Ovis aries: one gene and its partner. The protein of the gene in region 2 purifies or fractionates together with the protein of the main gene of each other region. This does not show direct contact. Links are inferred from orthologs where the notes say so. Each region holds a gene or a part of one and is shown on either strand. Other genes may lie near its edges.

Region 1 (4,133 bases), on a different chromosome or scaffold from region 2:
AGTTTTTCTGATGGTAGTCTAGAAGGTCAAACAAGGGGACAGCAAAGGACATAAAGATATGAGATGAACGTTTTGTTTTCCACCAATGCATTTTAACATACACAAAGGACACCAAAGCTGATAAAATACGTACAAGATTTTTCCCCCTTTCTTGTGGCTACATTTTCAAATTTACCTTATTGTACATTTATCATGATTTCCGATAATTTGTTTTTGCTTTTTTCTAAGTTTTATTAAGGATAATTTCAAATGGATAAAAATGTAGGGGAATAATATAAACCTTTGCGAATCTATCATCCAGCTTCAACAATTACCAACTGAAGGCCATCTTGTTTTATCTGTAACCCCACCCACTGCTCGCCGCCCCCCCCCCCACTCTTGTTTTTCTCAAGAGCACTGAATAGCTGACTTTCTGTATTTTATTATGGAAAAATTCAAACATATACCAAGGAAGCTAGAACAATACAAGGAATCCCATAAGCTCATCACTCAGCTTAAACGATTCATTTAGTGCCAATTTTGTTTTATCTATGCCCCTCGCCACCTCCCCTTACCGCTGAGCTAATTCTGAAGCAAATCCTAGACATCAAGGTATTTTGAAGCCAGTCTGAATGCTTTTATTGTTTAATTCGTATTTTCGTATATTTCTGTAAGCTACAGGCAATTTGAAAACATAACCACAGTATCATTACAACGTCTAAAAACATCGTCATTAATTCCTTAAAAAAAATCAAATGTCGAATCCGTCTTTAAAATTTCCTGATGCACCTTTAAGTATTTTTTTATAGTTGATTTCCCCGAATCAGGATTCAAACAAGGCCTACTCATCGCATGTGGTTCATCTCCAGCTAGCTCTCATTCCTCATTCTCCGTTTCTCCCCACCCCCGCTTTTTTTTTTAACTTTTCAATACGGAAAATTCCAATCCCCGCTATTTTGAGGTAATTGTCAAATAAATTATTTCATTGGTAAAGACTGATACGTCTCTTTTGTATCTCGAATTTCTTTTACGGAAGGAGGTGATAGGAAAAGCACTGTAAGGAACGACTTTACATAATTTTACGTTTTTTCTCACTCTATTACGCGGGTTTTTCTCTCCACAGTAATAGCTAACGTCTTCCGGAGCCACGGTGCGTATTAAGTTATTATACGTATTACATTACCTAGCAGTCGTATATTATACGCTCTAATATACAGCACACGCCTCTGAGGCACAAGTCTCTGAGACAGATACTATTATTATCACCATTTTACAAACATGGAAACCGAGACACAGAAAGAACAGCCAGCCCAAGCTGGGCGTTGGCGAGTAGGAATTCGAATCTAGTTCTGCCCGATAGTAAAGCCATTAATTAATCTTGTCTGTATACGCGACGATAAGAGGAAATCGTCAACCCTTTCTCCCCACCCCCACCCCGAAACCTGAAACGAGGATCCAGTTCTTTCCGACAGACGACGACGTGTGATCACTGCCGACTCTCCAACCGCCATAGTAAAGCCAGGTTTCTCTGGCAACTGATATCCATAGGCAGACACGTCACCCTGGAGGCGGGCTTATGCCCTACAGCCAATCACAATCGTCTCATCTAAGTTTTAGAATGTTCTATAACCAAATGATTGGATGAAGCTCACCACGTCAGCAATGACACTCCGCCGCAGTAAAGGCGGGTGCTAGCAACCTGCTTCTTCACCGTTAAGGCTTGAAGGAAACCAATTACCTTTCTCCTTTAGTGAGGGCTCTGACCAATGACGTTCGCCCTCTTAGGTTTTCAGCCCGCCCTCCAAAAGCGCGACAGCGGTTGGGTCATAAGTCTATAGGGCAGAGTGTTCACGTGGCCCACTTTCACGACCCAGAGTTCCCCTGCCCAGAGGTTTCTTTCTTTTTTTTTTTTTTCCTGCAGGGAGGCATTGTGGGTTCCCCCCCAACTGGGAAAGGAAGTGTCTACGTGGCCTGCGGAAACAGGATGGGCGGAAATGAGCTAAGGTCCCCGCGAGTGGGGAAGCGCTAGGTCAAATCTGCGGCCACGCCCCCGAACCTCTTGCGCAACTCCCGGAGGAAAAAAAAAAAATAAAGGTTGACTGGGGGTTTTGATGTGTGTGCGAGTTGGGGGTGGGGGGTACTGCGGGCGCGCGGTGTCAGGGCTCCTGTGCGCAAGCGAGCCCGCGTGGCCTTGGCGTTGGCGTGTGCGCGAACGCCAGGCCTCGTGGCGCTGGAGGTGGCTGGTGTGCGCAGGCGTGCGCCCCTAGCGTCGGGGCTGGTGTGTGTTCTGGGGCGGGTGCGTGCGCGTGTGTGCGCGCGTGAGCGCGCGCGTTCTATGCGGATCATTTTTCTACTTATGTTTGAAAATTATTCTTATAAAACGGAAATTTAAGCAATTAAGTTATGGCGACCATCACTGAGATAAAGGATTTTCGCTAGAAATACTTCGGTCTCCCCTATCGATTTGATTTTAAACCCTAAAAATACACTTTCTTCCCACGTCTATCTCCGAATCAAAAATCCCGTTCTAAGCCGTAGCCCAGCAGCGGTTAACAACCAAATCCCCCATTCGCTTACTAGCAGTTCCAAAAAGCAGCTTTGCTGTTCCCTAATAGCCGTCTTCCCCCAACCCCCGCTCCTTCCCCCGTCCATCCCCCACCCCCAAGTTGCGTCCAGTTCTGCCACAATATTTTGCTGAGAATATCTGTACACGACAGACTTCCCCTCCACTAGGGACTCCGAATTTCTGTGGGAGCTGAGGCTCTCTTACCTGCTTGTTCTGATTTCCAGGCAGAGTGCTCTTAACGCAAGTATGCACTCTAATTTTCCAGAAAGTTCTCCGTGTGAGGTTTATACCTTTTGAGTTTGCCACTAGATGCCGCCAAATTCCAGCAAAGGATTGGCTGTTTGGTCCCTGGAATTATGGGATTCCCCCATCTTTTTTTTTTTTTTTTTCTGATTTGCTGAGCTTTCCAATCTATAAAGATCATATATATCTTTCATTTCTCGAGAAAAATCAAATTAACTTATTAATAGCCCTACCAGGTAGGGCTCTATTCAAATGTTTACCTCCTTTCTTTACTTCTTTCCTCCTTAAAAAAAAAATTCCCCCTCCCATCTCTTTCTTCTTGCCTTTTTTGGGGGTGCTGCTGCTGCTGCTAAGTCGCTTCAGTCGTGTCTGACTCTGTGCGACCCCATAGACGGCAGCCCACCAGGCTCCCCCCGTCCCTGGGATTCTCCAGGCAAGCACACTGGAGTGGGTTGCATTTCCTTCTCCAATGCATGAAAGTGAAAAGTGAAAGTGAAGTCGCTCAGTCGTGTCTGACTCTTCGCGACCCCATGGACTGCAGCCCACCAGGCTCCTCCGTCCATGGGATTTTTGATGAATGACCCCCAAGCACTGACGCCGATGAAGATACGAAGATTCTAACCCTTTCTGTGGGGTTAGGATCTTTTCAAATGCTGCCACCTGCCCCGCTTTACCACCTCACCCTGACCCCTGCTCTGCTGCAGGGAAAACACAGGTGGTTTTCTGGTCAGTACAGACATTTGTCTTCACTGGGCTTGGACCCTGGGATTGAAAACTGATCTTTCACTTTTGAAATTATGATCGGATATTTGTGTTTTCACCCTGTCTTCTGCAGTAGTACTGTGAAACTTTATTATGTTTTTGGAGTTTAGAGGCCTAATTAGAGGCCTAATTTTGAGCCCGATTCCACCACTTACTAGTTCTGAGAACCTGGGATTTATGTTCTGTGATCCTGTTTTTTTGCATGCTTTCTATATTTTAGATGTGTCATATCACATGATATTCTTTAATTCTTCACAAAATCCTTGTTAGAGGCATACTAATAAAATCAAACAACACAAGTTATACTTATTTCAGTTATAGATTCCATACGTTTGTGTGTGTGTGCATATGTGTTTCTGGGCACACACGTGCACCCTTTGGGGAGGGGTGGGATTTAGAGCAGAGGTTCTCAAAGTGTTTTCCAGACACACCAATAGCACCACCTGGTGGGGAATTGTCAGAAATTTAGATTCTCACCTCCAAACTAATCAGAAATTCTAGTAGTTGTTAGGGTTTGGGTGTCTGTGTTATAACAAACTATTCTGGTGATTCCAATGCACACTTCTTGGAGGGTAGAAATATA
Region 2 (2,981 bases):
GGACTGTGACATGAAGAGGCTCACCGGTCTTGACCTGCAGTGTATAGCTAAAGAAACCGAAGGGTTTGTGGCTAGAGACTTTACCATGCTTGTGGATCGAGCCATACATTCTCGTCTCTCTCATCAGAACGTGTGCACCAGGGAAGGTACGTTTTATTGCTAAAACCGAAATTTGATTCCTTCCTTCCTTGTGGAGAAATGTAATTGTAGTAAGGTAAGAATTAAATCTAGTCCATGTTAGCATTCAAATAAGCAGGTATGTGAGTAGAAAATGGCCATTTCCAGCTAAGTTGACAACATTTTTTTTAACTGAGTTAAGATTGGCTCAGTGAAATCAGACGGGGAAAGACAAATATCACCTGATTCTATTCATGTGGAACGTAAAAAGCAAAATGAATGAACAGACCAAACCAAACATGAACATGTAGATATGAAGAGCAGAATGGTGGTTACTAGAGGGGAGGGCACGCTGGGGAAGGGAGGCGGCTGCATGAGGACTCACATAGAGATATGACCACCAAAAGAAGTTGTGTTTATTTCCAAACAGAATTAGTTTTAACAACATTGGACTTCCAAAAGGCGCTCCGAGGATTTATTCCTGTGTCTCTGCGAAATGTCAACCTACATAAACCTCGGGACCTGGGCTGGGACAGGATCGGTGGACTGCATGAAGTTCGGCAGATGCTAGTGGATACTATCCAGTTACCAGCCAAGGTGCTTAGAAACAAACTGAGGACTGCCTGCTTCCTGTGACACCCCTGAATCATTGGCTCTGGCTGTATGTGTTGGCTTGCCCAGTCTCAGGTTGACCCAATAAGAATTTATTGTTACCAAATAAACGTCCAGTCCTATTCTGGGCACTTGAACAGATTTTTTAAGTATTTGATACAGTCCTTGCCCATGATGCTGGGGTGATATTTATAGTAGATAGATTTTATTTTATTTTTGACTGCACTGGGTCTTCACTGCTTTGTGGGGGTTTTCTCTGGTGGTGATGAGCAGGGCCTTCTCCTTGCTGTGGTGCACGGGCTTCTCGTTGTGGTGGCGTCTCTTGTTGTGGAGCACAGGCTCTGTAGGGCACACGGGCTTCAGAAGTTGTGCCACGTGGGCTTAGTTGGCTCCAAGCCATGTAGAATCTTCCTGGACCAGGGATTGAACCCACGTCCTCTGCACTGGCTGGCGGATTCTCTTCCACTGTGCCACCAGGGAAGTCCTGTAGTAAAAATACAGTTTGATGTGAATTTCAGAGTTCTTGGGTTTTTCTTGAATAATTCAAATTTCACTGAAGCATATGAGCCATCAGCTACAATTGAGCAGAAATGAACTAGAAGGTGGGAGAGTCACTGAGGCCCCCAGAGCTGATGGATTTAGCCAGATTTTGGGTGACAGTCTCTAGACAGAGTTAGCAGGCAGCACCCACCAGGCTGACTGTTGTTTAGATCAGAAGTAGAATCGAGAAGGTGGTGTGTTTGGATGAGAAACCTGAGCATGAAGGACCTTCGCATGAGATCAGGGGCCCGACCAAAGAGATAAAGAAATGGGTAAGGCCCTCGGTTACATGTAGGTACTGGGGACTGTCTGGTGGGGACTGGGGCATACTGAGTGGCACCCACGACTGGGGGTTAAAGCCTGTGTGGAAGGACATGGGCATGGGACGTGGCCTGCAGGGTCAGGACCTGAAGGCTGGGTCTGGGCACCAGCGTCATCCAGGCATGTGAGCCATCTGCATAAATGCTCACACTGGGACCTCGTTCAGATTAGAATGGAGGTCCAGATGAGGTTGGAATTCTGTCAATATATGGGACTAAATAGATGTACCCAATAGAGGAGACCCAGTGGGTCTCCCCAGTGGCTCAGGAGTTACAAAATCCACCTGAAGTGCGGGAGACATGGATTCAATCCCTGGGTCAGGAAGAGCTCCTGGCAGGATTCCTGCCTGGAGAGTCCCGTGGACCGAGGAGCCTGGCGGCTGCAGTCCATAGGGCCACACAGTTGGCCACAGCCAAGCGCAAGCTCCCATGCTGCCCAGAGGAGGCCAGGGGGTTGCTGACAGAGCCAGGCAGCTTTCTTGCTGTTCAGAAGTTTTCTTGTTCAAAAAGTTTTGAAACCTGTTCAGAAAGTTTTCTTGCTGAGAAGCTGGTGGTTTAGAGGGTAAAATTACTTGTTCAGCATGGAATCTCCTGGGAGATTGTACTATTATCACTACACATGCTTCTTTATATTTTCTTTCCTTGATTGAGTATATTTGAATTGGTGTAGCAATCATAGCTTGCCCCATGAGCCATACAAGTGGAGGGCAGTATACTTATTTTTATTTTCTTAATGTAGTACTATTGTAATGTTTGGGGGTGGGAAACAGGAGAAGTGGAAAGAAATTCAGATCCATTTATATGCATTTTATGTGGAATGTCTTCCGTGGTCCAGTAGGGAAAATCTGTGTTAGTCCCTTTGAGTCCATTCATTATTTTGAGTAGGAATGGCTTTCCTGTCATTGACAGTTACAGAGATGGCAGTTGTTACTGTCCAAGGACTTTTTCTGTGCCCTGATCTTTAGCTGCTCAGTCATTTGTTTTAGAGTCGAGCTCTTTGTCGTATTTTCGTATTTTTCAGTACCCGGAATTGTTTGCCAACTTGCCCATACGACAGAGGACAGGAGTACTGTTGTATGGTCCTCCTGGAACGGGAAAAACCTTACTGGCTGGAGTAATTGCACGGGAAAGTGGAATGAATTTTATTAGTGTCAAGGTATGTTTGGCGTTTATCTTTTTTCTTTCTTTTGATTGAGGCAAAATTCGCATAATTGTGTTAAAGTGCACTTTCAGTGGTATTCAGTGCGCTCACAGTGCTGTGTAGCCACCAGCTCTCTGGTTGCAAAACTTCTTCATCACAGTCTCCATCCCCCTGCCAACCCCCTGGCAGTCACCAGTCTGCTTTCTGTCTCTCTGGATTTGCCTGCTCTAGATATTTCATAGAAGAGGAAT

What was found. Proteins that work in one complex are often made in the same cells at the same time.
Region 1: the proteins of GATAD1 (region 2) and MORF4L2 purify together in Homo sapiens (affinity purification with mass spectrometry; 4 studies listed by BioGRID and IntAct, with this or other methods). This does not show direct contact. The link is inferred for Ovis aries from reciprocal best matches to the Homo sapiens genes GATAD1 and MORF4L2.

What each region holds. Positions count from the first base shown.
Region 1 is NC_056080.1:129,270,824-129,274,956, forward strand, and holds the start of MORF4L2 (mortality factor 4-like protein 2), read right to left. Parts: upstream 2,809-4,133; 5' UTR 2,750-2,808; intron 1,494-2,749; exon of another isoform or gene 1,422-1,493; intron 19-1,421; 5' UTR 1-18. UniProt on the Homo sapiens protein: Component of the NuA4 histone acetyltransferase complex which is involved in transcriptional activation of select genes principally by acetylation of nucleosomal histone H4 and H2A.
Region 2 is NC_056057.1:10,570,786-10,573,766, reverse strand, and holds the end of GATAD1 (GATA zinc finger domain-containing protein 1), read right to left. Parts: intron 2,746-2,981; coding exon of another isoform or gene 2,611-2,745; intron 1,214-2,610; coding exon 935-1,213; 3' UTR 715-934; coding exon of another isoform or gene 548-714; 3' UTR 510-547; downstream 1-509. Other genes in the region: peroxisomal ATPase PEX1, read left to right, coding at 1-146, 548-714, 2,611-2,745. UniProt on the Homo sapiens protein: Component of some chromatin complex recruited to chromatin sites methylated 'Lys-4' of histone H3 (H3K4me), with a preference for trimethylated form (H3K4me3).